Linked DNA regions of Diceros bicornis minor. The protein of the gene in region 3 purifies or fractionates together with the protein of the main gene of each other region. This does not show direct contact. Links are inferred from orthologs where the notes say so. Each region holds a gene or a part of one and is shown on either strand. Other genes may lie near its edges.

What was found. The genes of interacting proteins can lie anywhere in the genome.
Region 1: the proteins of CCT3 (region 3) and DCAF7 purify together in Homo sapiens (affinity purification with mass spectrometry; 4 studies listed by BioGRID and IntAct, counting the BioPlex papers as one, with this or other methods). This does not show direct contact. The link is inferred for Diceros bicornis minor from reciprocal best matches to the Homo sapiens genes CCT3 and DCAF7.
Region 2: the proteins of CCT3 (region 3) and TLE2 purify together in Homo sapiens (affinity purification with mass spectrometry; 3 studies listed by BioGRID and IntAct, with this or other methods). This does not show direct contact. The link is inferred for Diceros bicornis minor from reciprocal best matches to the Homo sapiens genes CCT3 and TLE2.
Region 4: the proteins of CCT3 (region 3) and WRAP53 purify together in Homo sapiens (co-immunoprecipitation; 3 studies listed by BioGRID and IntAct, with this or other methods). This does not show direct contact. The link is inferred for Diceros bicornis minor from reciprocal best matches to the Homo sapiens genes CCT3 and WRAP53.

The regions. Positions count from the first base shown.
Region 1 is NC_080757.1:46,427,083-46,434,519, reverse strand, and holds the start of DCAF7 (DDB1- and CUL4-associated factor 7), read right to left. Parts: upstream 3,336-7,437; 5' UTR 3,150-3,335; coding exon 3,012-3,149; intron 1-3,011. Other genes in the region: KCNH6 (potassium voltage-gated channel subfamily H member 6), read right to left, coding at 6,886-7,170. UniProt on the Homo sapiens protein: Involved in craniofacial development. Acts upstream of the EDN1 pathway and is required for formation of the upper jaw equivalent, the palatoquadrate. The activity required for EDN1 pathway function differs between the first and second arches.
Region 2 is NW_026691553.1:2,365,760-2,373,218, forward strand, and holds the start of TLE2 (transducin-like enhancer protein 2), read right to left. Parts: upstream 3,336-7,459; 5' UTR 3,114-3,335; coding exon 3,090-3,113; intron 3,012-3,089; coding exon 2,914-3,011; intron 2,545-2,913; coding exon 2,481-2,544; intron 2,034-2,480; coding exon 1,989-2,033; intron 1-1,988.
Region 3 is NC_080743.1:59,910,205-59,917,779, forward strand, and holds the start of CCT3 (T-complex protein 1 subunit gamma), read right to left. Parts: upstream 3,373-7,575; 5' UTR 3,293-3,372; coding exon 3,262-3,292; intron 1,309-3,261; coding exon 1,247-1,308; intron 532-1,246; coding exon 481-531; intron 390-480; coding exon 327-389; intron 1-326. Other genes in the region: TSACC (TSSK6-activating co-chaperone protein), read left to right, coding at 3,655-3,656, 4,562-4,620. UniProt on the Homo sapiens protein: Component of the chaperonin-containing T-complex (TRiC), a molecular chaperone complex that assists the folding of actin, tubulin and other proteins upon ATP hydrolysis.
Region 4 is NC_080757.1:10,678,590-10,686,861, forward strand, and holds the start of WRAP53 (telomerase Cajal body protein 1), read right to left. Parts: upstream 3,336-8,272; 5' UTR 3,321-3,335; coding exon 3,081-3,320; exon of another isoform or gene 2,952-3,080; coding exon of another isoform or gene 2,868-2,951; coding exon 2,548-2,867; intron 2,383-2,547; coding exon 2,284-2,382; intron 2,017-2,283; coding exon 1,905-2,016; intron 1-1,904. UniProt on the Homo sapiens protein: RNA chaperone that plays a key role in telomere maintenance and RNA localization to Cajal bodies. Specifically recognizes and binds the Cajal body box (CAB box) present in both small Cajal body RNAs (scaRNAs) and telomerase RNA template component (TERC).

The DNA.
Region 1 (7,437 bases), on a different chromosome or scaffold from region 3:
GAAAACATGATAACATTAATACGAGATTTTAAAAATCATAATCATGTTTTCTTTCAGTCAATGTCTCTACAGTAAAAAAAAAGATGACCATTCTTGGGCTTTTTCATCAATGTTAATTTGCCGTGTGTCCACTGTCCTCTGCTGGCCATCACTATCGACGGCAAGCAGGAACCAATGGTCTGAAAATTCCAACCGGTAATTCGTCAATTCCTCTAAATTATGAAGTCTGGCGCCTCCAAAGCAAGGTTTCTCCAAAACTGAACCTGAGAATCACTGCATTAAAGTGGGATTTACTGCCCACCATCCCTTAGGCACAGATCCTCTGCAGCCAGGTTTCTTAACTTGAGGTCCGTGAACCTGAATTGGAGAATCATTCATATTTTCACTAATCTCTAACTGAAATTTAGCATTTCCTTCCATTACAAACAGAGGCAGCTACTCACAGCAGCATCAATATCTGTGACTCCGTCACCAGTAGAAATCACTGATTTTTTTTTCATATCACAGTACAGTAATTAAACATCTTAAAATGGCATTTACCCTCATTACTACTTCAAAATTACAGTAATAATTACACTGGATGGTGTAATCTAATGAGTTAATTTAAAAGTACATATTACTATATCACCACTTTTTTTTTTTTTAACTTTTATTTATTTATTTTCCCCCCAAAGCCCCAGTAGATAGTTGTATGTCACAGCTGCACATCCTTCTAGTTGCTGTATGTGGGACTCGGCCTCAGCATGGCCGGAGAAGCGGTGCGTCGGTGCACTCCCGGGATCCGAACCCGGGCGGCCAGCAACGGAGCGCGCGCACTTAACCGCTAAGCCACAGGGCCGGCCCCAATATACCACAGGGCCGGCCCCAATATATCACCACTTTTTAAAAAATGTTTTTGATAACTGTAGTTCAAAATAATTGGTTTCCTTTGTAATCCTATGTATTTTATGCATTTGGAAACATAATTATGAAAAGAGATCTATTGGCTTCAGATTGCCAAAGCTGTCCATGGTGCACACACACACACACAAAAGTTAAGAACCCTGACCTAGATAGGTGGGGGCACAAAAACAGTTTTAAGACACTGCATTGCCTACATCACTGGAGTGAGTTAACATAGTTAACTGCTTGTTCCCTTACTACTAGGATTATTAGTTTGCATTTCACTACTAAGACCACACTGCCTTTGTGCCTGGCACAAAGAAAGAGCTCTATACAGTTGCTAAATGAAAGGACAAACTTTGGGGCAGAGTTACTGTAACTGAGGTTTGATGTCAATTACTCCACTGATTCCACCAGCAGCCTAACTGTGGCTCTGTTTCTCCTTTCTTAGAAATGGGACTACTACTGCTTACCCAAATAGATGCTGGAAGAACTTGCAAGGAAAAAAAAAAAAAAAACACACATCAATTTGGGTGAAAAAAACTCAAGCCCCTTGAAAGACATATTTTGCTTTTTTTTTTTTTTTTTTTAACATGTATCCTTAAACAATAGTTCTAGCGGTCTCAACTTGACTAACACAGTTTCCACACTAGGACCTTGAATTCCATTCCCAGCTCTGCTGTCTACTATGGGCCATAAGGAAGAAAGAAGCATCAGAGAAAAAAAAATAAAGCTATGTCTTACTCAGGACTCTCTGCTTTCTGTGGACAATGGGTAGACTACAAGATCAGTGCATACTCCCTGGGATTTGTTTGTAAATTGTGTACGTGTAATGTCTGGGCAATGAGAGCCCATCACTTTCATCAGTTTCTCAAAGGGAATTCCAAAGAAATTTAAGACCTAACTCTAGAGAAACAGCTGTGCTCCTGAAAAACTGTAACCAAACTTACTATGTTCAAATAGTTTTTACATGACCTTCATGTATAAAAAAGAACCCCTTTCCTACAATAAACTGTGAGTCAGAAACAAGACTGACCTGTGCAATGCCCCATAGCTAGTCAATGGACCAGACAGGACTCAACCCTAGACCATTTGGCTTTTTCCCCCTGCACCATGCCTGTCACTGTCCATACAGTTTTATTCTCTTAAATCATGCTGTTCATGGTGTTAAGCAGGAGCACAGGCTTTAAACACCATTAGCCAAGGCTTTCAGTTGCTCTGATCACTATCAATCACAATGTTTACTCTAATACAATAAAAGGAAGAGATAAAGGGGTAAAGAAAATTCTCCCCATTGACTTATTCAACAACTTTCAAAAATAAATTTATGCTGCACTGCCAGCTTCAAAGCTACCTCCTACTACCCGTGCTTCTAGGAAGGGTTCTCAAATTCTGGATGTCCAGAAACTTAACTACTCGGGTTACACAGCTGTATTAGCATGCAAGAAGGCAAGAAAAGACACGGCAAGTGTCATCCTTCTCTACTCAGAAAACAACGGCGGGATCACGGCCATGGGCCAAGATTTTCAGAAAGAGATCGCTTTGAAAACGACGGATATCAGGCAGCAACAGCAATGGCAATCCTGGCAGAAGGGCTAGGGGCATGAATAGTACCAGAGAGTGGGAGTAGGGGGCGGGGAAGCCCGCGCAGTGAAGAGTCCTAAGAGAAATCTGGTGTAGCCAGGAGTGAATGACTACCAACTGAGGAGCCAGCCTTTTCCTTCATATCCATCCCTCTCTCTTACCTCCTTCGCCCCACAACTGAAGCAATGCGGCAGGAGAGGAGGAGGACAGGAATGATAAAGGGCACAGATTTGGGTGGAAACTCGGGTTTGAGACCTGTTTCCACCACGAAACAGCTGTCTGAGTCGGGCAAGTCACAACACTGTGCCTCAGTTTCCCCATCAGTAAAATGGGGGTAACCACACTCCTGACTACACAGGAACGCTGCCAGGATTAAACGAGACAACGACTGCGAAACCCTCTGCACAGGGCCAAACTCAGAGGAACCGCTCCGTGAAGCTAAGGCAAGTTCGCAGAAGGGTCCTGGGGTTTGGGGTCCAGCCCGGAGAGGGCGCTCCCGGGGCCCGCTCCCCGCCAGCCGGGTTCCGAGCCCCTGCCCGGCCCACCTTGTTGTTGTACTCCTCCACGAAGCTGCCCAGCGCCAGGCGAAAGCGCTTGTCGGGCCGCACGCTCCAATTCATGGCGTAGACGGTCCAGGGCGCTTCATACTTGTAGATCTCCTTCCGTTTGCCGTGCAGGGACATGGTGGCGGCGGCGGGGCCGCAGGGCGGGCCGGGACTACAGCGGGCTGCGGCGGGCGGGGCACGGGTCGGGCAGAGAGCCGGGCCGGAGACGGAGAGGGTCCGAAGGGAGGCGGGGCGGGGGCGGGCAGAGACGGCCTAGCCCGGAAGCGGGGCAGCGACAACAAACAACGACGGCCGGGCCCGACCCTCAGTTTAAAACCCGCTTCGGCTCGGACAACCACCACCTTCCGTTTGAGACGCCGCCCCGCCCTCTCGGAACGGAAGCCACGCGGCCCACGCAGCGGCGCCGGCCGTTGGCTGCCTGACACGTCCGTTCGAACAGTTCCTTCTTCTCATTGGCTATTGCACCGTAACTTCTGAAACCTCTTCACTATTGGCGTAAATGTCTGTCATTTCAATTACTTGCCCTGCCCAATTCCAAGGGAGGGGGGGGCCCCGGCGCTTTCGCAGTCCCGAAGGTCATTGGCTGACAAAGATGTCAGTCAGAGAGATAACAGCGCAGTGCGCGTGAATGGGGTGAGGGCGTGGGAGGCATAGGAGGCTAGCGTGCGGAGCGGCAGGCCTTCAAGTTCTAGGCCAAGTCTCCGAGAGCGAGAGCTCTTGTGTAACGTGCTCTCACTCCCCCTGTGCAGGTGCTATTCCGAGTGGCTATGCCACTCTGTCGAGTAAAAATTAAAATTCTGCCTTTCCTGAGGGCCTGCTGCATTTCGCGTCACTGAGCCCCGCGGCCTGGCAGCCTGGCCCGCGCTACACGCGAACCACCTTAATTCCCCACTCGTGCCAACGCCCTGTTTAAGCCGGAGAGTTGTTCTCCCAGTGCCCCAAGGGCAGGCCCGCCGGTGTACTCAGGGCCAGGCCAGCTTCAGTCGGGCCGTCCTGTGCTTTCCTGGCCACCGTCCCGTGCTTTCCTGGCCATTGTAGAAACACGCAGAGTTGCAGGGTTGGAATTCAGTAGGCAGCGACCCGAGCAGCTTGGCTCTAAGTTTTTGTGGTTGCCCTCCCGTTCCTTCACCGCTGAGGGTCCTAAGGCAAATGCTTGAATCAAGCCCTAAGTATACCTGTGCCAGTGAGTTTGAAATGGAGGAGGGTCCCATCTAGGTAATGTCTCCATAATTTAAATGGTTTCCAATTCTTTGCTTTCAGTAAAATTAAAGGATTGTATTGAATTGTTAGATGATATCATTAAATATAGTTTTCAATGATAAATGTGATTGTTAACAGACAACTCAGAAAGAATTCAAATTGAGTGACACTGCCATATATAACAAATCCCTTAGATTCCCATCTACTTACTTATGTGAACAAGTTTTCTCTGTGCGTAAGTTTTTAAAAAAGAAAAAAATAAATAGGTACAAAAATGTTGAGGGGCGTGCCCGGTGGCTTAGTGGTTAACCGCTACCGGCAGCCGGGTTCCGGCGCGCAGCACCGCACCGCTTCTCCGGCCATGCTGAGGCCGCATCCCACATATAGCAACTAGAAGGATGTGCAGCTATGACATACAACCATCTACTGGGGCTTTGGGGGAAAAAAAGGAGGAGGATTGGCAATGGATGTTAGCTCAGAGCCGGTCTTCCTCAGCAAAAAGAGGAGGATTAGCATGGATGTTAGCTCAGGGCTGATTTTCCTAACAACAACAAAAAAATGTTGAACCTTGAATATTATTATTCTAATAAAAAAATGATATTCATCCACACACATGAACTAATTGAGAGGAAAATACCCTTTTTTAAGAAATGCATTTCCAATAAAATTTGTTTTTATAAGAATTTGAATACATATTTATGTTGTTTTGAACAACTCTGTACTAAGTGTAACCCGTAAAGCCTTAGAAAGTTTACAAAAAATTGATTTTAAAATTTCAACATATATATATATTTGTGTTGCAAAGAGATATGATAAGTTTATCAATAATAGACTTTAAAGCATGGAAATAAATTACATGTAGCATAAACTGTGGGAGGAATAGAATGGAATTATGAGAAGAAAAAAAGGAATAATGTTAAAGAAGAGCTTGTTCTGATGTTTTTAAAATGAATGATGTTGGCTCTCAAATCACTATGCTATTTGGATCGAAATGGATCAATATAAATGGTATCATTTATAAAGTGTCAATATTTACAACACACTGGAAATTACATCCTTTGCAACTCTTTAAACTTATCAATGAAATACTTCAGACGTCAACTTAAAAATGTATGAAGGGAGAAATACATTTTCAAAATTTTTTAGGGAGTACTGGAACAAAAAGGACTGAAGACCAGTGACCAGGTACTTTTTGGACGATAGCCCATTTCAATGGAGTAGTTAACTGTACATGTTCTCAAGCTGGACCATCTGGGTTGAAATTACATCCTCTTTTTCCTATAATTTTGGGCAAGATTCTTTTTTTTTTTTTTTGGTGAGGAAGATTGGCCCTGAGCTAACATCTGTTGCCAATCTGCCTCTTTTTGCTTGAGGAAGATTGTCCCTGAGCTAACATCTATGCCAATCTTCCTCTATTTTTTTGTATGTAGGGACACCACCACAGCATGGCTTGATGAGTGGTGTGTAGGTCTGCACCCAGGATCCAAACCAGCAAACCCCGGGGCCACCGAAACGGAGAGCATGAACTTAACCGCTTCGTCACCAAGCCAGCCCCTGTTTTTTTTTTTAAATTGAAGTGTAGTTTACACATAGAAGTGCACGTATTTTCACAACCTGAAACATACTCATGTAACCAGCACCTAGATCAGGGAACAGAACAGTACAGCACCGCAGAAGTCCCCCTCATATGGTTAGGTAACTTTCTTAGTCTTTCTCTGCTTCTGATCCCACATCTCTAAAATGGGGATAATAATATCAACCCCACAGGGTTGTTGTGCAGATTAGGTGAACTAATATCTGCAGTGCAGTCAGCATGGTACCCAGCACTCAGTTAGTGTTATGGAAGTGTTTGCTGTTGTCATGATTCCTGATGGCCACCAAGCCAGCACCTCTCTGCTTCCCTTCACCCCAGCCTGGCTAAGAGCCCCATGATCCAGGGGCTCCTGGGCCTGATGGAGCCACCTTCAGGTCCCCAGCACACAGCTCCCTTGAGAGGGGCTTGGACAAGACAACAGATGTTGGGGTCATTGCACAGTCAAGAACCTGATGACCCTCAGGTAAGTTACACACCCAACTCAACATGAAATGTGCAGACTTTATTAGCTGTGAGGCACTCCACTGCCTGCTAGGGTCCCAAAGGTCCTTACAGAACCGTCAGGGGCAGAGCGGCCGAGGGCTGGAGCTCTGTGCCCTGATGTGTTCGCTACAGAGGACACTTTCATCTCCAGCTGGGTCACAGGCTCTAGGCAGGAGGTCTGACCAATCATGGGTGCTGGGCTGTGAGGTGGTGGATAGTTCTGAGCCAGGAGGTGATCACACCCAGCCCAGAGCAAGGCTCTCATACAAAAGATCGGAAACTTTTTCTCTTTTCCTCATTGACCTCTCTGTTCTGTAAGCTACCTCCATGCCCGAAGCTCACCCACCCTCCACCAGGCCCACTGTCTAAACAGCGCCCTGAAGGAGGCTGGGAAGAGTGCTGAGCCTCTCCACCCCCACTGTCTTGGGTCATCTGGGTTAGCACTTTATAGCTACTCTAGGAGAATGGTTGTCAGAGGCCCATTTTGGAGGCTATCTGCCTTCCCCAAATCCTTAACTTTCACCTCATCCACCTTCAGTCCCCTCATGGTGTCTTTTATCTTGGGGTTCAGTGGCTCTAACTCCCTGCAAATCCAGGATCTGAGCCATGTCTCTGGAACTCCAGCTGCTTGGGAATAGAGCTGAGATGTTCAGGGAAGGAGGGGAAGCGGGGACCACAGACAAGTCCCTGTACCTCCAGGGGACGCAGAGGAGAGGCCAGGGGTGGTAGGAGCCCCGCAGGCTGCTCCTGTTCCGAGAAGAGTGTTGTAGTTTTGTCCGCTGCCGTGATCAGGTGAGGTAACATGGAGGAGGAATTCCTGTGCTTCGGCCCACATTTGTCCAAGTCACCAGAGCTTGGGGTCTGAGGGAAGCAAGAAAGAGGGAGCCATGCAGTGTGGGGAGCCCCCCAAGCCACTCTGACTTCAAGGATGGGAACTGGCAGGAGCCGTGTCCTGCTGCCCTTGCCCTGGCTGTGGGGTCTGCAGTCACAATCTGGGCTTCGCCACCACCTGCCCAGGCTGCCCTTTATGGTCCCTCAGACCATAAAGGTGGACTGCAGAAGCCATGGCTGCTCTCAGGCCACAGCGGCCCTGGGCCTGATGCCACACTGAGACCCAAGCTGGGGGTG
Region 2 (7,459 bases), on a different chromosome or scaffold from region 3:
AGAGTCCCAGAGAGCGGAGGCCCAGCCGGACCGGGACACGGGGAAGCTTCAAGTTCATCGTAAACCAGGCGAGGGGCCTCCGCCGGGGTCCTGGGGGCTCGAGCCCTGGCTGGGCCCATGTCCCTCTCTGGGTCTGGTCTGCGGTCTCTACCTGCAGCCAGGTGACATGCCCGGGCGCCACACTGCGGAAGGCTTGTGATGTTGTGATATGAGAAACATGTACTTGGTCTCTGTCCCCAGTTCCTGGCACAGAGCTCCTGAAACCCCTGGGGTTCCTGAGTGATGGGCTAAGGGGAGCGTCTTTTGCTATTTGTAATAAGCCCCCCTTTCCCCCACACCTGAGTTCATCAGAGGGCTGGAGCTCTCAGCCCCAGCCTTCCACCTCCAGGAGGGGAGAGGGGCTGGGGATTGAGGTAACCACCAATGGCCAATGATTTAATCAATCGTGCCAACGCAGTGAAGCCTCCATTTCAAAAATCCTACAATACTAGGTTTGGAGAGCTTCCGGGTGGGTGAACACGGGAGGTGCCGGGAGGGTGGTGCCCAGGGAGGGCACGGAAGCTCCGAGCCCCTTCCTCACACCCTGCTCTGAGCATCTCCTCCATCCGGCAGTTCCTAAGTTATAGCCCTTACAATAAATGGGTGATAGTAAACAAGAACTTTCCTGAGTTCTGTAAGCTGTTCTAGCAAATTATCAAACCCGAAGAGCGGGTCGTGGGAACCAGGATTTATAGCCAGTTGGTCAGAAGGACACGAGGCCCGGACTTGGGACCGGCGTCCGAAGCGGGGCCGTCCTGTGCGGCCGAGCCCCGGACCTGTGGGGTCTGCGCCAACTCCGGGTCGTGTGTCAGAATCGAGCTGAACTGTGGGACACCCCGCTGGGGTCGGAGTTGGAGAATTGGTTGGTGTGGGGAAAAGCCACACGTTTGGCATCAGAAGGATAGAGAGTAAAGGGGAAATGGGTGGTTTTACTTGTAGGTTTCATCCGGGACAGGGTCCAGGTGGGGGGTGTCCCACAGAGCTGAGCAGAGGGGAGGCTGCGCGGGTGGGGAGGCATATCCAGCTGTGCACAGTCAGCCTGAATTACAGGGGTGCTGGGTGCATCTGGGTGGCGTCTGTGTTCCCACCAGGAGGGAGGAACCAGGCCCCACCCCACGCCCTCCACCCCATAAGGAGGTCTATTTCACGCACCCAGGGGACCACGCCACGCTCCAGGCCAACAGCCCCCTCCGGCCCACACCAGAACCAGTGGAGCCCATACATACCCGGAAAGCATGCCCGGGGCGGGCACCCCCAGGTACCCCCACTCCCAGCCCACTCCTCTCCTCTTCCCACCCACCAGGAAGCCCGGACACTAGGCTCTACTCATTGATTCTGATATTCTGAATCTCGGGGCCCCTCTCATCCCATTAAAAGCCCTCAGAGGTCAGTCTCAGGACCTCAGGATTAATCTGGGACAACCAGACTCAAGTTCAGAAGCTTCGGGTCTATCTCAGAACCTCTGGGTCTATCTCAGAACCTTGACACCACACGCACAAGCTTAGGAGGGTCTCAGAGCCTCAGAGCCTTAGGGTCAATCTCAGAACCTTCAAAACAGTCCCAGGACCTCGGGGTCCATCTCAGACCCTCAGGATCCAAAGGTCAGACTCTCCGGGCTGAAAGGGGCCCCCCAGACTGTCCAGCCGGCCCCCTCCCGGGACAGAGGGCATCCCCACAGCCTCCCGGACCCGGCTGCCGGCCTCTGCTACGAGCCCTCCTTGGTGGGCCCCTGCCCACCGCTCGCCTCGCGGCTGGACAGAGTCTCCAGAAGCTCAGACGCTTTTTCCTTTCACGAGGCTGGAATCTGGCCCCCTGGTCCCAGAGATTTCAGGATAAGACCCCTGTGCCCTGGATTTGCTTTGCCGCAGACCGCCCGAGCGCTGGGGCCGTGTCACAGCCTCCAGACCCCCACGCTCCCTCCTGAACACCCTCACCCCCCACCCACCTACCTGTTTGTGCATCTCAACGTTGAGTCCGTAGGACATCTCGTAGTACTGCAAGAGAAAGCCAGCCGGGTGTCCACGGGCCGACGCGTCCAGTCCTGCGCTGGGGGACGCTGGCTCTTCCAACAGCCCCCCGGCTGGACCCGCAGCTTCCCAGCCCCGTGGGACCCCGGAGAGAAAGCCCAGAGGAGGATGCAGGGCCCCCCTCCACTCTCTCCAGGGAGGTGGGGCAGGTCACTGGTGTCCAGTGGCCCTGGCCCCGCCGAGATGCCCGTGGAGCGGGGACATCCTTGCCTCCCTGTTCTAAAGAGCCCGGAGGGCCCTGGGAGACAGCCTGGAATCCCAACCAGCCCACTTCACAGACAGGAAAAGCGAGGCCCAGAGAGGGGCAGGGACTTACCCTGCAGAGGCACAGTGAGGCCGGCGTCACACCCCAGTGTTTCACTCACAGCCCAGCCCTCCCCACTCCCCCCACCCGGCACCATCACCCCCCCTCACCATGACATAATGTCGCTGCATTTCCGTCTTCTCACTGGCTAACTTCTCACATTCCAGCTTGAGGCTGGGAAGGAGACAGGATGCTGGGACCCCATTGCCCCTGCCCCCCAGCTGGAGTCCCACGGACGCCCCTTCTGGGCCCGTTTCCAAACTGATCGGTTTGGCTCTCCCCCTCCCCACTTTTTCACACACGCACCCCCACCTCCTGGTCGCAGTCCCTCCCACCCCTTCGCAGGCTCTAAGTGTCCCAGTGCCAAGTGACCCCCTCCAAGCTCACCTGCGCCTCCACCTGGAAGCCCTCCCTCCCCTCGTCCCCGGGGGGCCCCCTCCTCCTGCACCCTGGAGGCCCCGCCCCCCTCCCCTGCGGGCCCCGCCCTCTCCCGGGGGGCTCCCAGGCGGACTCCGGGGTCCCCTGGGGCGGGCCCCCCCTCACCTGTGGTACTGAGCCTGAAGAAACTGGAATTCCTCCTTGATGCGGTCGCAGATCTCCAGGATCGAGAACTTGAAGGGCTGGCCGGACTGAAGCGGGGTCTGGGGGGGTCGCCGGGGTCTGAGCTCTGGGACGCCCCGGACCCCCGCCCCCGCCCCGCAGCCTGGACCCCCACTCACCGGGTGCCTTCCCTGGGGGTACATCCTGGCGATCCGGGAAGCCCCCCGCGCCGCCGAGCTGGATGGACAATGTGGGGGTGGGCGGCGAGGCTGGAGGCGGGGGGCTGCCCGGAGGAGGAGGAGGAGGAGGAGGAGGGGGCGCGGGGCAGGGGACCCCGGAGTGCCCGGCGCCCCCGAGAGCGCGCGCGGGCGGCGGGGACGGAGGGTGGCCGGGGCCCCTCCCGGGCGGGGCGCGCGGGGGGCGCGCGGGGGGCGCGCGACGGGCGCGGAGGGTCGGGACCGGCCGGCTGGGGAGGCGCGGGCGGCGGGCCCCGCGCGGAGCCGCCTCCCTCCGGCGGGGCTCGGCCGGGAGCCGCGGGCAGAGCCGCCTTAAGGTGGCGCCGCCGCCCGGCCCGCCCACCGGCCCGCGCGCCCCCCGCGCCCTCCCCTCGGCCGGGGAACCGGCGGGGAAACTGAGGCTGGCGTCCAGCCCCGCCCGCCCCGCCCCCGCCCTCCCCAAGAAAAACAAGAAACAGATAAACAAATACCTAGGCAGCCCGGTGGGGAGGGGGCGCTTTGGGGGCCTTGCTGGGCAAGTGCGCTAAGACTGCGGGGGGAGGAGGAAGCGGGCTGGCCAGGCGCCTGCCAGGGGTAGGAAGAGCGTGTGCAAAGGCCCCGGGAGGACCCAGCTGGGAGGCAGAGCCAGGCCCGGGCCCCCCCAGGATTCTCGTCTGTCAAGTGGCAGAGGCAGGCGCTCTTTCTAAAAGGCATGAGACTGGAACAGCCCTCGGCTTGGCCTGGCACTGGGTCAGCCCCAGAGATGGGAGCTGGTGTTCCGGTGGCCGCCACCTGCAGACGGGGCTGCCTCCCCTCTCAGACTATGGGGTCCCAGCGAGGACGGGAAGGGAATCTCTGCCATCAGACAGAGGCTCCTCCCACTACAGACATCCAGCGAGCATCCCTCACACTCACCCCGGAGGTACCACGTCCTTGTTCCCATCTTGCATACAAGAAACCTCAGAGTCGATCATTAAGTCAATCAACAAACACCCCTTGAGTGCCTACCATGGCCCAGCCACTGCTCTAGGCACTGGGGCTCAGCGGGGAACAACAAGACAGGGAAAAGCCCTTGCCCCATGCTAATGTTTGCACCCGGGTCAGTGGGTGAGTGAACAAAAGTGCACACAAGCCCTTCTCAAGCTTAGAGCATCGTTTCCAGCCAAGGGCTACTTCTCGAGCATGGACTGCCTTCCAGGCACCAGGAATGCAAGGGTGGATGAAGGAGGACAGACTCCTGCCTTCTCTGGGTTCGAGGGACAAGGCAAGATCACAGCTTGGCAGTGATGGAATTATCTGTGTGTCTAAAGGAAGATTTAGGGAGCAGTGGTGGAGATCAGCAGGAGGGAACCTCCTTATCTGGGGCATCCGGGAGAGGCCTCTCTCAGGAGGTTAATGTAGGAGATGAGACCTGAAAGATAAAGATGCGCAGCCCGGAAGGGAGGGGAAGAGAGATCCTGGGGATAGTGTGTGTGTGTGTGTGTGTGTGTGTGTGTGTGTGAGTGTGTCGGAAGGAGCATTCAATAGCTCCCTATTGCCATCAAAATAAAATCCAAACTCCTCCCTCTTCCCACAAGGCCCTGCACAAACCCCCTCCTGGCCCTCCCATCTCTGATCCCAACTCTGTTCCCTTTCACCCTCACTCCCTCTGTTCCAGCCACATTGGCCTCCTCGCTGTTCCTCCAACAGAACAGACAGGGGCCTGCCTCAGGGCCTTTGCACTGACTGTTCCCTCCACCTGGAATGCTGTTCCCTTGTTTCCCACCATTCAGGTCTCAGCTCAAATGTCACCTTCTCAGAAAGTCCCCTCCCAGCCACCCATTAAGCAGCATCCACCCACCCCACGCTATTATTCTAAATAAATACTGTTATTCTCAACTGCTTTTCTCTCTCTTTTTAGCTCCTATCAGAGGTTTTATTTTGGTTTGTGATTTGTTTTGATATGTTTATGTTTCTTTGTGGGTTATTCTATGCATTGTCCCCCCTAGTACTAGGCTGTGTGGACAGAGCCTGTCTTGGTCCGTGCAGAGCTTGGCACACAGTAGGTGCTCGATAAATGCACAGGCAGTCAGTGAGGAGCAGAAACAGCCGATCCAGCCAAAGCCAGAGATCCCTGGCCACACTCCTGCTGGGAAATTCTAAGAAACAGGGAGGACCACAATTCCACAATGCCGAGGGCTCGTGATTCCGGGTTCTGGGGGCGTCCGTGAAGTCCTAATTCCAGAACTTTTCCAGGAGGTGTCTTGCGTCCCCTGCGAAGACAGCATCTCCCCTCCCTGGGCCGCTAGTCCAAATCGTGGCGCCCCCTTCCTCACCTCTACTCCTTCCCACCCCGATCTCCTCTTGGGCCTTCTCTTGCCAAAAGCCCTCCACCTCCTCAAAGTCAAGGGCCCCGCCTGGACCCTCATCCCGCAGCCCCACCCAGAGCAGCCTCCCCACCCCGCCTTCTGCATGCTCTCCTAGCCGGTGGCCCTGATTCCTGTCTTTTCCTCTTTCCCTTTAGCCTGCTCGCCTCGGGCAGCCCGCACTTCTGGCTGCTTGGGCTCCAAGCCACCACATCCTTTTCCAGGCCTCACTCACCACCTTCATGAGGGTGACTGCAAACTCTGGCTCCAGCCCTGTGGATGCAGCCACCTCTAGCATCTCCCCCAGATGCCCCCCAGGCCACTAGACGTGGCATCTTCCCCCAGACCTGTCAGGCCCCACAGTCCACCCTGGTCCCCAGAGACAGAGCACCAGCCGGGCCTCCTCGCTCCCCCTCAGCTGCCATGCAACCCTCCTCCCCATCCCCACAGCCCCCGCCCGCACCAGCCCTTAATCACCTCCCATCTGGACTTCAAGCCACCTCCCCACTCTGAGCAGCCTTCACTTTTATCACCTTCCCTTTGAGCCTGGCCCTCCCTCACTTAAAACTCTCCCATGGCTCCCGATTGCCCTTGGGACAAATTCCCAGATCTTCAGGCTAGCATCAGAGGCCCTGCACCAGCCGGCCCCGCCCAGTTTTGCCTCCCTGCACCGGTTCAAACGCTCTGCTCCAGCCACACCAGCCAGATTACCTAATCTGTGTTCTCTCCCACCTCTGGGTCTCTGCTTCCGTTGTTATCTCTTCCTGGAATTCCCTCCCACTGCATTTCTGCCTGGAGGAAGTCCACGCCTTCAGGGCCCAGCAAAAAGGCATGTCTTCCCCGCATCTCCTCCAAAGTCCCAACGTCTCCTCCAAAAGGCATCTCCCCCTGCCCCATGCCTCCCTCAGCCCAATGTTGGTGGTTAAGTGAGCATTTATTCTATAGCCACCTCCTTCTGCTGGAAGATGCTGGGCCCTCAGCCAGCCTCAGGCCTTGCAGGGAGAGCTAGGGGTGGGGGGCGGGGGACAGAGCAGAGCACACACTCCCAGGCCCACACAGTCAGTGCCGGGACAGAGGGAGCGCCCAGGGCGCGAGGTCCCCACAGTGGGAACGGGGCCTCTGCAGAGGGAGTCCAGAGGAGGCTTCCTGGAGGAGGGGGCCTTTCCTTTCCCCACCAGTCTTTCGATCTCCCAGCCAGGCACACTCCACAGGGGAGGGTAAATACAGATTTGTGGATTGCCTGAGAGGCCACAGACCACACACACACACACACACACACACAGCGAGAGATGGTGTGTGTGACCTGCCAGGAAGGAAGAGATGTTTTGTTCTGAGCAGCAGCATCCCCAGTTTTGGGGGCAGAATTTGGGGAGGCTCCGCTGAGAGCAATCTGAGAGATGGGGGGACCCCCAGGCGGCCTGTGGCTCCATAACTCGCTAAAATGGCACATCCGGCCAGAGCAGGAGGCAGGGAAAGGACTGGCCAGGCCAGGCGAGAGTGACAGTCTGGGCCGCCTGGCACAACCTTCTCATTTCTCCAGCCAACTCCTTTGCCATCGGGGGGCTTCAGGCCCCACCTCCCTGGGGCTCAGTTTCCCCATCTGCAAGATCCAGGAAGACGCTGCCAAATGGGGGAAGGGGCTTAGCTTCCAATCTCTCCCCTCCCACTGCACAGAAGGGCTCAGCCCCGGTGGTTCCTGGCTGGCTTTTTATGATGTGGATGTGGTTGTTTTGTTTTTTTTTTTAAAGGAAAAAGCCGAGAGGCAGCGCTGGGACCCCGGGTTGCTCAGACCACCTTAAATCAGCCTCACCGCCCCAGCTACTGTGGAAATTCCTTTCTCCGCGGTGGTTGGCTGCGCGCGCCAGCCAATCCGCCCGCGGCGCTCCCACATGGGTCCGTGACGTCACAATGGGAGCTGGCCAATGGGGCTCGGGGAACCGGCAACCAATGGCAGGAGGCTCTGGGATCCGCTGGGCCAATCGGAAGGCG
Region 3 (7,575 bases):
ATAATAAGAGACACACAGGAGAACGCCACATGACAACCGAGAAGGACTGAGTTTACAAGCTGAGGAATGCCAAGGATTGTGGTCAACCATGAGAAGCCAGAAGAGGCAAAGGATTCTTCCCTAGAGCCTTCAGAAGGAATATGGCCCTGCTGACACCCTGATTTTGAACTTCTAGCCTCCAGTCTATGAGAGAATAAATTTCTGTTGTTTAAAGCCACTCAGTTTGTGGTAATTTATTACAGCAGCCCAAAGAAACTAATTATCGTCTATATATATCTTTATGGGTCCTTTACAAAAGGATTAGAAAGCAAAATGAAAAGTCATACCTCTCGAAGAATGGCATTGCCATCATTGGTCATCACAATGCCTCCCATTGGGTCCAAAAGCATCTAGGACAAAAGCAAAAGTTATATTTAAGTGTTCCAAATAACAGAAAGGGAAAATCTGTAGTCAAAGAGTTTCAGTGAGAGATAAGCCTACCTTCATCATGGACTTGGGTCCCAAACATGTTCGGATGATATCTGCAATAGTCTATTGGAAAGAATATATAAAACATGTAAGCCCAGATCAAAGGAGTGCGTGTGTTAGGTGAAGGGGCACGAGTAATCCACAAAGTCAGTGTTTTAACAACTACACCTCTAAAGCAGGGTTGGCAACCACTTTAGACATAGCAAGCCACGTGGCTAGATTCTGTTGTTTTTCCCCTTTGGGAATGCTTTCAGGGTGGATGTAGAAAGAAAAAACTTCTCACAAGAAAAAAGGAGGCGTGCCTCCCAGAGCTTCAGTTTCCCAGCAGTCCAGGTAACTGGAAGTCCATGTCTTAGTATTTCTTTCCATGACAGTGGCCTCCACACCATGCTAAATCAGACCTAGGGCTATTTCATTCTTTCATTCAAAAGATATTTACTGAACACCTATCCAGGATCTACAGTGGGGACTAGGAATACAAAAGGGAATTTAATACAGTCCTTCCCCTCAAGTAACTCAGTCTAGTATGGGAGACAAACACAAACAGAATACTATAAAACAACATACAGCAATAGAATTATACACAAGTTAATATGAGAAGACTGTTAGGCATCTCTCAGAGAGGCAGAGCTTCCTTCTCTCTAGCACCATTAGGAAAATGTCCTGAAAGAAGGGAAGTCAACTTTTCCTCTCCCTAATTGCAAACAAGTACAGAAATACTAGGAAAGGCAGCTGGAGGCAAACTATCATACTTTAAACAACTTAAAAGATATGCTACCTTGGCGGCATTGATGTTTCCAGACTGAACTTTTCTTCCAGATTCACGCTTTGTGTTCTGGCCTAAAACAGATAAGAACAAAAGGCAACAGCCCAGGATTGCTCCACTGTATATCAGCTATTTATTCCCTGACCTTTGAAAATAAACACACAGGTATATACACAGATCACAGCTTCTCAAATTGTACACTTTAAATATGTGTGACTTACTGTATGTCAATTATACCTCAAAAAGCTGTTAAAAAGTAAACATATGTACTTACGGCTACTTACTTCTTTATTTACTTCAATTCCCGGTGTACTAAGAAACAACCCATAAAGCTTCAATTTTGGAATTTTGTTACTTTCTCTCTAACCAAACATTAATGTATTTACAACAAGGATTCATAACCTGAAATCCTTGAGTGGGCCTCAGTGGGATAGTGAACTCCCTGAGATTATATGAGAAAATGAGAGAGACTGCGTTTTTGTCTGGGAAGACAATCTCTAGCTATCATCAGATTCTTAAAGGGCTGGTGACCCTAAAAAAGCATGAATCACTGCTTTATGTAAAAAGGGAAGAGCTTGGGGGTTCACATTTTCCTACTTGGATAGGGAGAATCATACTCTGACAGTTTCAGTATACTTATTGATAGTGCCCCCACAATGTGCTGGGGAATGAGAACACATTCTCAAAAGTATGCAAGATAGTCACGTCATGCTTGGATATGGTAAGAATGCTTCAGTAACCCATCAGTAAGAGCTGACTATGTATTTTAATAGGGAGCCTCATCAGTTAATAGCCAGTAATGCCAGAGATTAATGTAGACCTGAAAAGGGCTTCACAACACACCACTCACTCCAGGGCCCTCAATGTAGACAAGCCAGTGGGTTATAACCAAACCAACATAATGCTTATTTCCCGCCTCTCTCCAAATTATACATTCCCTACAATTTAAATCTGTAAATTTTTTCAATCCAGTTCTATCAAATCTCAACACAACTCTCAGGTTTTAGATTCCTATTTTAGGCAGTCGTAACTAAAATCCTGCATTGACCTTTCTGATGGATTCATCAGAAATACTGTGTTTTTTTCGGTCAAGTGAAATTTTTTCTGAAAACAGTTATCTTCCAGGTATAGAGGAAATGAATAAAATCTACGAAGAGAATTCTGTATACAGAAGATGGTAAGGGAGGGAAATGGCGAGTCGGGCGTCTTAGGTAGTCTTGCAAATGGGATACAGAAGTTGCACACAGAATGGAAACATATCCGGGAAGACAAATGGAGGTGGTACTCACTAGTCAGAAAGAAACCTGGGACGTTCCCGACAGGTAAAGAAAACCAATGGAAAAATTTGGGAAAACTCGGCTAGTGAGAGAGATTACAACGCGGGGGACACTGAGGGAATAACCACATCTAAGACAGACCAGTGAGGGAAGTAGGGTTTCTTCAGGAACAGGGGTTGGTGAACAGAAATTCAGGAGGAATGTTACCGAAAAGTGACCAAGGCTATCACTTGCTGTTTGCCAGATCCTCTTTTAAGCAGTTTACCTACTTATCTCATTTAATCCTAACAATTCTACGAGGAAATACTGTTAGCCCCAATTATCAAGACAGAAACGCTTAAATCAAGCAATTTGGCCGAGGCCTCACCGCTACCAGAGGACGGGCCAAGGTTATAAAGCTAGGCCGGACTGAAAAATCATCATTCATTCAGCTACACACTGAAAATCAAGCCAGGAAGAGTGCAGGGGCGGGGGAGGGGAGGAAGAACCGAGCGCCGAGTGGGAAGTGGCTTCCCGAGGCCAGTGCCCGCAAAGACAAAAGGCTCGGAGAGGGGAGGTCAGTTTGCGTTTGTGAAGACAAGGGAATGGGCCAAGGGAAGAGAGGAAGGCGGGAGACGGGGATTCCAAAATGAATGATGACTGGAAGGCTCAATGGCCGGACCAGGGCGGGATGGGGCTGGGGCAACACCGTAAAGTGTGGACAGATGGGGGCGAAAAGGGGGTCCCTTCCCCGGTTTCCCCACAACTCACTGAGCACGAGCACGGGACGATGGCCCATCATGGCGGCGCGATGCAGAACCGGGCACCCAGCGCGGGGGCAACCGGCAGAACGTTCTGGAGACAGACCCAGAGGCAAGCCCAGAAAACGCTGGCTCCTCGGGGCTTACACCTAAACCCGCTATCTTCAGAGTCGCGGCCAATCACCGTAGCCACCTCATTGACCGGCACGAAAACAGGCCAATTGACATTCTTAGCCCCGCCTCCCACGCAAGAACGGTAGGGCAAGCTAGATAGAGAGAGCGCGATGATGGAGGTGGGAGGGCACAAGCGCTTGCGCAGTAGGGTGGCCGCTCCCGGCCGCGTGCGGCGCGAACCTCGGCGCAAGCGCCAAGGCTCTGGCAGTTGGCCGGCACGCTACTGCGCATGTGTGTCAACTACATGGTGGGTGCTGGGGTTGAGGCCTTCAGTTAACATCGCAGGTGAGGTCATTAAGCTGCCTTGCGCCTCAGCTGTTCTCGGGCCGCGAAGATCAACGAGGGTGTGACAGTTTCCACTCTTTCGTTCCAGCCTGAGGAACGGGGAGGAGTAGAGGGGCGGGACTTCACCGGTAGTTGAGGGAAGACCTGGCTGGTGTGATGTGGGTTGAAATGGGAGTTGTAGTCCTATCGGGCTGAGCTGGGCGGTAACAGTACGTCTTCTGGGCACGCTGTGAGTTGTGGTGTATTGCCTCTGGACTCGTTGCTGTGAATGGACCTTTCCCTTTTTAGTCAGATGCTTCCTACTGAGGCTGTGAGCGGTACTGGAGGGTAATGGCTTACTTTTTCCCAGAGTTATCCTATCTAAAACGTTTTCTCAAGCGCTCCCTGTAGTGCTTTGAGATTTTCTTTCTGCACGCCTATCTGCTCTCCCGCCCTGCTTGTCCACTCAACTGCTGGTCCATTAGAGATGATGGGGAGCCAGAGTTTTTAAGTTATCTTACAGGACAGGAAAAAGGGTTGATAGTGCAGAAATCAAGCGTGAAGAGAACACAGAGTAATTGCTGTTCGTAGGAGGCTCGTAAGGTTTGGGTTTGGTTAAATTACTATTTTTTCCACAAAAAAAGGAAGCAATAAGAGAACTGTGTTACAAACTAGTGAAGGCACCGTGAGAGCACAAACAATGCAAGAAGAGTTACTTATATTTGGCCATGAAATAGAAGAGTACACCCTTTCACACTTTTTCCTCCTGAAATTGGAACAGCCTGAGATCTGCTGGAGGGAACTTATGAAATTGTCAATAGTAAAATAATAGCATGGGTTGTTGATCATGTGATGCTATGATTCTTTCTTAGGCACCACACTGTTGGTGTTCAGATGGAGCAGCATACTACTCATCCTTCGAACAGAAAAGGTGTGTGTCAGAGGCCCTGCTTTCTCTCCCGTAAAATCAGACCGCTTTAATGGCCCAGCATTTGGGAAAATTATTCTAGTTGTGTGTATGTTTTTTCCTTTTATTTAAACTTTTTTTTTTTTTTTGCAGAGGAAGATTAGCCCTGAGCTAACATCCGTGCCACTCTTCCTCCACTTTATATGTGGGTCACTGCCACAGCATGGCTGACCGGTGGTGTAGGTCTGCAGCCAGGATCCGAACCCGTGAACCCAGGCGGCCAAAGTGGAGTGTGCTGAACTTAACCACTACACCACAGGGCTGGCCACTGTGTTTTCGTTTTGTTTAGTTAATTGAAAAGTATTTGTACTTTTTTCTGCATTTCCCACTAAATGGGAACATTGATGTATTCCCAGTGCCTAGAACTGGATCTGTTAAATAACAGATGCCCAGTAATTATATGTTGAATGAATATATTATTCTTCCTTTGTAGCTCCTCTTAATACTTAGAACAAGACTATGTCCAGGGATCCCAGAAGACATAGTGTTGGCTAGAGTGAACTCAGTTTGAGTGGGACAGTCCCACTGGTGGCCAGGGAAATGCCTGAGGCCATCCGACTCCAGAGCCTATCCACTTAAGCGTAGTGGAGTAGATTACTTTATCTGAGAGGCCTATTATGTCATAGCTTGCACATAAATGAACTAGCTCTTTTCACAGAGTATATTGTGCAGTGATAAAGAGCATGACCCTGGAGTCTACAGGCCTGGATTTCATTCCAGTACTGCCACATACTAATTGTGGAATCTTGAGCAAATTTCCTATCTTAAGTTTTTTCATGGGGCCGGCCCTGTGGCATTGTGGTTAAGTGCACGTGCTCCACTGCTGATGGCCCAGCTTCGCATCCAGGCGTGCACCGATGCACTGCTTGTCAGGCCATGCTGTGGTGGCATCCCATATAAAGTAGAGGAAGATGGGCACAGATATTAGCCCAGGGCCAGTCTTCCTCAGCAAAAAAAGAGGAGGATTGGCATGGATGTTAGCTCAGGGCTGATCTTCCTCACACACACACACAAAAAACGTTTTTCAAAAAAATGTGGATAAAGCTACCTACTTCAAAGAGTCATTTGTGAGACATATATAAGATAATGTATGTAAAGCACTTTTTATTATTATTTTCTCTGTTCTGCCTCCTTTTGCTGCTCCTCAGCCTCATCTTCTCTGATACGTTGTCTAGTCAATAATGTGGTTCCTTAGTATGAATTATCTGTAAAGTATTCTTCAAATCTTACAACCTGGTAGAAAATGTGTCATTATATACCTAGGAAGGGCTCAAATTATTTAGAAGTGCATTTGTATGGAAATTATCAAATTTTTCAAACGGTGAGAAGAATCTATTTTTTTGTTTTTATTTTTTGTGAGGAAGATCAGCCCTGAGCTAACATCCATGCTAATCCTCCTCTTTTTTTGCTGAGGAAGACCGGCTCTGAGCTAACATCTATTGCCAATCCTCCTCCTTTTTTTCCCCAAAGCCCCAGTAGATAGTTGTATGTCATAGCTGCACATCCTTGTAGTTGCTGTATGTGGGATGCGGCCTCAGCATGGCCGGAGAAGCGGTGCGTTGGTGTGCGCCCGGGATCCGAACCCAGGCCGCCAGTAGCGGAGCACGTGCACTTAACCGCTAAGCCATGGGGCCGGCCCAAGAAGAATCTTGAGACCTGAGTTTCAGTTTCTATTTCTTTACCACTCTGCATGAGCCATCAAATGACTGCTGACCCTGGAGCAGGAGGGAGGAGAGGATGGAAGACATTCAGTAGGGTTTGGAAAATCCACAAGCCCAGAGCGAAAAAACAGATTTCCTTCACCAAGAGTAACTGACAGGGAATAGAACAGCTGTCAGTTTTCACAGGCTCAATGACTTTCCAGACAGAAAGCACCTCAGCCTGGCACCTATGTGTGAACACTTCTTCCTCTTGGCAGGCCATTACTCTGTTGCAGTCTGAGTAAAGGACAAGAATGAGACATCTTCCTTCATACAACCTCCTTGTCACGCCTCTGCCCCCAGGCTTGTTTTTCGTGAAGAGGCCCTCTCTTTATCTTCATCCTTCAAATCCCAGCTGAGACTGTGTCACTTCCTCAGAACACACTCCTCAGCTCCATAGACTAGGTTAGGTGCTCTTATAGCAGTTAAGGGGTGTAATAATGTGCATGCTTGATCGCTTAATTACTGTTTACACTGCAATGCTGTCAGTTCATGAGAATAGTGACCACATCTGTTTAGCTCACTGTGGTATCCTCAGTGGCTGACACATTGCAGGCACTTAACTCTTATCTATATGAATGAATGAATGAATGAATGAATGAATTCCATTTTCCTATCCTTTTTTGATCTCTGACAGTAAGTTATAGACTCCCAACTGTCTCAAGCTCTTTAATTCCCTCATGGTCCCAGCTATTCTACCTTTCCATCCATTGCTCCTCTGTCTGCTTTGCCACTTCCTTTTCATCTTCCAAACTCCTGAGGAGTTCCCCAAGGATCTAATTTTCACTCTCAGTTTTTCACTTTGGAGGGCTAATTTATTTTTGCAGATACTTCATCACCTCCTTGTGGCTGGCCTGGCGGTTTGACCTTTCTCCTTAGCTCAGTGCCATCTCCCTGACTATTTTTCTTTTTTTTTTTTTTATAATTTTATTTATTTATTTTTTCCCCCAAAGCCCCAGTAGATAGTTGTATGTCATAGCTGCACATCCTTCTAGTTGCTGTATGTGGGACGCGGCCTCAGCATGGCGGGAGAAGCAGTGCGTCGGTGCGCGCCCGGGATCCGACCCTGGGCCGCCAGCAGCGGAGCGCGTGCACTTAACCGCTAAGCCACGGGGCCGGCCCTCCCTGACTATTTTTCTGGGCACTTCTCTTTGGTCTGCCTAGTCTCACATCAGATTCAATATGTCCAAAATATGATTTATGTTAATATGACAGAACC
Region 4 (8,272 bases), on a different chromosome or scaffold from region 3:
CTGCCTCTGAATACACCCTCTGCCCTTCTCCCTCCCACAGGGACGATTCTGCACCTGTCAAAGTCAGTCTTCTAATGTGCTCTGGATCCCGTCTTCACCCAGCCACTCAGGGACTTGGTACACCTTCTCTCTCCTACAGCATCAACCTCTCCCTCCCTACTAGGTTATTCCTCACACCACAGAAACACCCCATTAACCCTTCTTTGGCCCCACATTCCCCCTGGTCACCATTCCATTTCTCAGCTCCTTTTCACAGGAAAACTTTTCCAAAGAATTGTCTCTCCTTCCTCTTCCACCTACTCTAATCGGCTTCTGCCTCCATCACTTCTCTGAAAGTGCTCTTGACAAGTCACTAATGTCTTCTTAGGTCATTCTCTAAATTTGCCTCACTCTCAACAGCGTTGGACATGACTCTGTCTCCACTTTCGTAATTTCTCCTGCACCCCACCTCCACATGCTGGGGCGCTCAGGGCTCTGCTTGAGCCTTCTCCTTCTCCATCTATACTTGACATTGAATCCGTTCTCAAAGCATAAGATACCATCTACACGCTCTCCCACTTCTCAAAGTATATCCCCAGGGCCGGCCCCGTGGCTTAGCGGTTAAGTGCGCGCGCTCCACTGCTGGTGGCCCGGGTTCGGATCCCGGGCGCGCACCGACATACCGCTTGTCTGGCCATGCTGAGGCTGCGTCCCACATACAGCAACTAGAAGGATGTGCAGCTATGACATACAACTATCTACTGGGGCTTTGGGGAAAAAATAAATAAATAAAAGTATATCCCCAGCCCCAATTTCTCCTCTTAGATTTACATTTCACATTTAATGTACCTAAAAACTCTTGACTCCCAACCCAATACCTCTTCATATCCCTGTTTCCTCCTTCGAGTAAACTGTACCATAATCCACCTAGCTGCAAAAGCCGGGACATCACTCTTGATTGCTTCCTTCCCTGCACCCCCACATCCAATTGACCTCCAAGTCCTACATAACATACTTCAAATCCATCCACTTCTCTCCATCTCGCCCGACACCACCCTACCATCATTTCTCGCCTGGACTGTGATAAACGCATCCTAATGAGTCTCCCTGATTTCACTCTTGCCCACCCACAATCCATTCTCTAAACTTCAGCCATCATTTCACTCTCCTGTTTTAAAACTCTCCCATGGCTTCCCAAATAAACTCCAAATGCCCTACCCACAAGACCCAAAACGACATGGCTGCTAGCCACCTCTCCATCCTCACCACGCTTCCCCTTCACTGGCATTCTTTCTGTTCACTGAATACACAAAGCTCTTTCTCAGCTCTGGGTCTGTAATATCATTGCCTCTTCCTGGAATGCTCCTTCCACAGTTCTTCACTTGACTGATCTCATCATCCTTCAGGTCTCAGCTCAAATGTCTCCTTTTCAGAGAGCCTCTCCCTGACCATTTTATATAAAGTGGTATCCTCTAGTTAGTCTCTCTTCATTCTATTTCCTTCATAGCATTTATTATAATCTGTCATGAACTTGATTATCTATTGGTTTACATGTTTGTTGTCTAACTCACACACAAGAAAGCAAATCAGCTCTTCATCTGTCTCCTTCACCACTTTATCCCAGCACCAAACACAGTGATTGACACACTGGTATTCAATCAATAAATATCTGTAAGCCAATTAAACACTGCCATGAGAAATCCACTATTCTTTTATGGGAAACACATATTCCTGACTAAAGAAAGGACAAACATCTGTTTAAATGACTTCAGAATTCAGGGTTGAAAACACTACCTGTGAAAATTCATGGTGAAGAAATGTCCTGTTTGTGAACAGAAAACATGTGGACTGTACTTTCTCCATCTACAGGAAGGACTTAAATGTGCAGTGTCTGATGAAGGAGCAGAGTTAGCCCCTACCCTTACCATTTCTGCATATTCCAGCTGCTCCCCCTCATTGTACAGCTCTGGGGGCAGGTTATAAATCCGCAGGATGTTATCAGCACTATTGGTCAAGATGCAGGAACCATCAGGGGCCCTAGGAGTAGGGAAGAGTAAGAAAGCTGGACAGATCTATATTTTCCAAGTGTAGGGCTAGGGCTGAGCCTACCTCTGGGGTAGGTAAGGCCCCCAAAACCTTGGAGGAAGTAGAAGACACACAATCCTAGATGAAATTTAAGCTCAGTCCAAGAGGGATACTTACTCCTTCTCCCACCTCTGGTGGATACTTCTCCCAACTAACTGGAGTGTTCTAAGGTGAAAATCCTGGGCATGGTTATCTCTCTGCCCCATTATCCTTACTTACCACTTACACCCTTTCAAGAAGTTCTCAGATTGGGTGCTGAACTCTGACCAGGAACCACTGAGAAACCGAGGTAGCTGGGAGAAGCTGTAGTTCCAAGCGCTGGAAGGAAGATGGGGGGACAACAAACCTGGGTCGCCAAAGGAAAAAGGAAATGGGTCTGGAGAAGTGGGGCTGAGGACTGGCGGATAAGGTATATCTCATACGTCCACACATCTCACACTTCAATCTCCTCAGATTCCTGAGGCAACTGCCACCACCACTTACGTGTATCCCTCCTCCTCTGGAGCTGGGTCCTCAGACACACCTTCCACGGCTTCTCCAGGCCCCGACTCTGGCCTGTTAGTTTCTTCTGCAGGAAGGTTCACATTTTCAGAAAGTTCTTGCTCCTCGATTCGAGGGCTCAACTCACTAGGAGTACCAAACCCTATTTCCAGGGGAGTGAAGAGGGAAGCTCGGTCCCCCTCCCTCAGCTCCTGGGACACAGCTGAGCCAGCCGCGGGATCTGGGGACACCTGGGGGGGATCATCCCCATCGGGTGGCGGTAGCATCCGTTCAGGGTCCGTATTTTTATCCACCGCGGAAGGCTTAGGAGAGAGATGGGCTGGAGCTGGGGCCTGGTCTGAAAGAAGGCAGTCCGGACCTAAGAGTGGCGCCTCCGGCGTCTTCATTCTGCAGAGGAAGCGCGGCAGACATTGGCCTCGGCCAGGCAACCCTCCTCCCGCTGGCTACCAGCTGCCTGGCCCGCGGAGCAGCCGAGACAGCTCCAAAGTTCGCACGGATCCTGGAGAAAAACCCACCTGTGCCTTCCTTCTTCTTCCGGGAGGGGGCAGAAGACCCCCGGAAGGCAAGGCGAAGAAGTGGACACCAACGTTAAAAGCACGGCATCCCTCAGCCCCGTCGGTCGCTACGCGCCACTTGCTCTCGCGGGATTTGGGCCCACCTCTCGATTGGACCTCCGCATCCCGGATCAGATTTCGCGGGCGACCCACGGGAGGGGCGGGGCAGGGACGCAACAGGTCCCGGTTTACCGTTCCCATCAAGCCCCGGGGCTCTTAGAGGCTGCTGGGAGTTGTAGTCTGAAAGCTTCTGCCTCCGAGAGAAGCGTCTGAGCTCCCCCTGTCTTCTTCCCGCGGTCATGCTAAAAACACCTACTTCTTACTCCCCAACCTGCAGAGGGCGCCGGCGTTGTATTTGATTTTACAGGTTTCTGAACCTCTTTGGCATCTCATTCGCCAAATTCCTCAGACCTCTGTCTTTTCATTCATTCAATAAATATTTATTATTGAGCTCTTACTTGCTACCCAGTATGAACTGAGTACTGGGAAATACAACAATGAATAAAATAGTAGACAAAGTCCCTGCCCTCCTAAGGCTTATGTTGCTGTGTATTGAAGGCAAGGAACAAATCTTTTCAGAAAGTGATAAAAGCTGTGAAGGAAATTAAACAAGATAGCGTGATATATAGTATCTGGAGGAATACGTTAGATTGGGATATTAAGGAAGGCCTTCCAAAAAGGTAAGATATTAGCTGATGAGAAGAAACTATCCAGCTATCTGGGAAAGGAGTGTTCCAGGCAGAAGGAACAGCAAGTGCAGAGGCTTTCTTCCTTCCACCTTCATATCTGACACAGTGGCAGGAGTCTTCCAAAACGGTTTCCACCAATTCTGCCCTCACGGCTCTGGCTTGCCGAACTTCCCCACCCCAAAATGTCAATAGCTACAGCACCAACACCGCGAGAATCCTAACTTTCTCCGTGCCCTCCTCTCCGACTCTGCATTCCTATAGCCTCCGCCCGAAGGCGAATTGCTTGCCCTTACTTGTCATGGCGACTGTCCAGCTTTGTGCCAGAAGCCTCGCGGGGCTTGCTGGGATTGGGATTTTCCCCTCCCATGTGCTCCGACTGGCGCTAAAAGTTTTGAGCTTCTCAAAAGTCCAGAGCCACCATCCTGGGTGCAGGTAGCCGCCAGGCTCCGGAGTCACCTGGCGTCCGGCCTCGGGGCGTGCTTTCCAGGACGGTGACACGCTCCCGTGAGGTTCGGGTAAGCTCGTGACTGAGCCTGATGAGTCCTCTCTGAGTCACGGGCTCTCGGCTCCGTGTATTTTCAGCTCGGGAGAATCGTGGGGGTTGGGGGTGGGGCACTGGGGACTTAGCGATTTTGGGGGGATGGAAGTTTGGCGGCACCAACATAGGAATGCAATGTTGGGAGGCCTGGGTGTAGATGATGGGGATATTAGGAATTCAATTGTCAGTTGAAATCAAAGCTGAACACCTGGGCGGGGAGTGGGACTTTGGGGGAAACTTGAGCCGGCCTACGGGATTCTTCCCCACCCCCCCTCCATCCCAGTGCCGGGTGTGGGGAATCCTGAAATAAGACGCACAGAGCATGAGGGTCTCAGACTTTCGGATCTCGGAACTTTGGGAATTCATGGTTCGAGATTTTAGAGCCCATGGCATGCTGGTGGAACCTCGGGCTTCATTCCGAAATGATTATTCGGGGTGATCTGGGAAGCCCAAGCTGCTAAGGTCCCGTAACTTCCGGACCTTTGTCCTTCCTGGAATGGTCTCTGCAACCGGTCCTCGGCTCCGCTAGATGGAGAAAATCCAGTTAAAGCCTGTCAGTCGTGCAAGTGGGAAGTGCTAAACGAGAGATTTGCCCGCGAAACCAGGGAGGACTATCCCGGTCTCAGAGGCCCGAGAGCCCTGTTATTGTTTGGCTCTACATTTACATTTCTGCCCTTTGCAGGAGCATTTCCGGTTTCTTTTTTGGGGGCAGCTTACTATTCACCCGATGAGAGGGGAGCAGAGAGACAGAAAATGTCTTTTAGACTGATTCCTATTACTTGCGGAGGGAGGCTGCTAACTCCCTCCTCTACCTCTTTTTTCTTTCTTCCTGGAGTACTTAGTTACCGCTTTGGGAAAGGAAGATATATTTGTTTTGATGCAAACCTCAGTCCCTCCCCCGTTTGAATGGTGTGCTCCACCCTGGTCGACTGCAACCTCGGCGGACGCTACCATTGCGTGGGATGGGTTTTTTTTTTTTTAAAGGGTGCAGAGGGAAACCCCTGGGTATTTTTTTTTTAAAGGGCACATTTGAGAATTAAATGATGAAGGAGTGTAACGACAGGTCGTTTGTGGCGGAGAAACACTTTCTCTTGTTTCCGGCTTTGGGCTAAGCCATTCCACTTTCGGACGCAGACTGAACGTCGTGACAGCGGAAGGGGCGGGTCTTGGCGAGGGGCGGGCCCCGCAGACCTGAGTATCGCTCTCCGGTCCCGGCTAGTTCTTTCCTATGGCAGGGTGCGGAACCTCCGCGAAATCCAACGCGAATCCCTTTCTCCTGCATCTTCATCGCTTGGGTCGCGGTCGTTTCATTCAGCAGCCACTTAGCACGCACCTGCTACGCACCAGACACTGTGCGCGGTACTTCTGTGCTTATCTTTTGTCTAAATTGAGGTAGCATTTATACCCACTGCAGTTAGACGAGTTTTGGCAGCTAACCACCGTGTAACGCCTATCAAAATATAGAACATTTTCATCACCCCAGAAAAGTTTCTCATGCTTCTGTCCGGTCTGTCTTTGACCCCCACCTCTATTTTGATTTCTTTTGCCTGTTGGAGAACTTGTAAATGAAATCGTACAGTATGTGCTCCTTTGTGTCAGGCTTTTTCCTTGAGCATAATGTCTGTGAAATTCATCCATGTTATTGCATGTTATTAGTGGTGTATCAGTATTTTGCTTTTTTTTAAATTTAGTATATTCCATTAGATGAATAAACCATCGCTTGTTTATCCATTCTCCTTTTGATGGCCATTTGAGTTGTTGCCCGTTATTTTGAATAAAGCTGCTATTAACATTTTGTACAATTCTTTTTGTGGTCATATGTTTTCATGTTTCTCAGATAAATACTTGGGAGTGGAATTGCTAGGTCAAAGAGCAGAGAGTAGATCTATATATTTTTTTAACTTTATAAAAAAATTCAAGGGGCCTGCCGGGTGGCGTAGTGGTTATGTTGGCGCACTCTGCTTTGGCCGCCCTGGGTTCCCAGGTTCGGAACCAGGGTGCAGACATATGCAGGGCTCATCAAGCCATGTTGTGGTGGCGTCGCACATACAAAATAGAGGAAGATGGGCACAGATGTTAGCACATGGCCAATCTTCCTCACCAAAAAAAAATCAAGTTTTTTAAGGTGGTTGTACCATTTTACACTCCCACTAGCAAGCTGTAACCTTCCTCACCTTTGGTTTGTCGGTCTTTCTAATGTTACATGCCTTTGTGGTTTAAATTTGCTGTTCTCTGTTAATTATGTTCAACAGTTTTCATTGTGCTTATTGGCCATTCCTATGTCATGTTTGAAGTGGCTCTTCAAGTCTTTTCCCCATATTTTAAATTGGTTTATTTGCTTTTTTTTTTATTGTTGAGTTGTAGGAGTATATAGTCTGGATACACATATCTTTTGTCAGATACACGTCTTTTCTCCTGACCTGTTGCTTGCCTTTTTGCTTAACAGTATCTTAAGAGGAGCAGAAAATTCTTTTTTCTTTCAAGTGTTTGCTGTAACCTGTTTAGGAAATCTAACCCCAAGTTCATGAAGATACTCTCGTATATTTTCTTAGAATCTTTATAGTTTTAGGTTTTATACTTAGGTCTATGAGCCATAATTAATTAATTAATTAAAAAAATTTTTTTTCATGATATGAGCCAGAGGTCTAGGTTTTGTGTTGTTGCTGTTGTTTCTTATATGGATTCCATCCAGTCGTTCTAGCTCCACTTGTTGAAATAGCCTTCCTTTCCCCCACTGAATTTAATTGGAGTGCTTGGTCCATTTACATTTAATGCAATTATTATAAGGTTTGAGTTTAAATCTGCTATTTTAGTGCTATTTTCTATCTGTCTCCTTTGTTCTTTGCTCTTCTCTTCAAACATTTGAGGAAGAAATAATATCACTGTTACACAAACTCTTTCAGAATATAGAGGCAGTAACATTGCCCCCTCATTTTACGAGGCCAGCATAATCCTGATACCAAAACCAGACAAGGACATTACAAGGAAAGAAAATTGAGCTCAATATTCATGTTAGCATATATATGCAAAAATCTGGCAAATTTTAGCACATCAAACCTGGTATATATAAAAATGAGAAATAAATCCTGACCAAATGGAGTTTATCCCTGGATTGCAATGTTGATTTAACATTCAAAACTCAGTGTAATTTGCCACATTAACAGATTAAAGGATAAAAATCCTATGATCAATTCAAGACAATATTGACAATATGCAACACCTATTCATGATTTAAAAAAAAAAACCACCTGCTAGCAAACTAGGAAAAGGAAACCTCCTCAGTTTGATAAAGGGCAACCCTAATCAAGTTACCATTAACAACTTACATAATAGTGGCAGACTGAATTCCTCTAAGATCAGGAACTAGAAAAGTATTCTACTCTTACCACTTCAGCATTGTACTGGAGGTCTTAGCCAGCAAGAAAAAGAAATAAACATAATGATTGGAAAGGAAGAAATAAAACTGTTTTATTCACAGATGGTATGATTGTGTATGCAAAAAATTCAAATCAAAAATCCATTTTAAAACTATCAGAACTAATAAGTGATTATAGCCAAAGTCACAGGTTTCAAAGGCAATATCCATAAATTGTATTTTTATTTTTATTTTTTGTGAGGAAGACTAGCCCTGAGCTAACATCCGATGCCAGTCCTCCTCTTTTTGCTGAGGAAGACTGGCCCTGAGCTAACATCCTTGCCCATCTTCCTCTACTTTATATGGGACACCGCCACAGCATGGCTTAAGAAGCGGTGCGTCAGTGCGCGCTCAGGATGCGAACCTGCAAACCGGCTTGCCACAGCGGAGTGCGCACACTTAACCGCTGCGCGACCAAGCCGGCCCCATAAACTGTATTTTTATATAATAGCAACCATTGAATCTGAAGTGGGAAAATGAATTTTAAAAACAATGACGTTTACAATAGCAT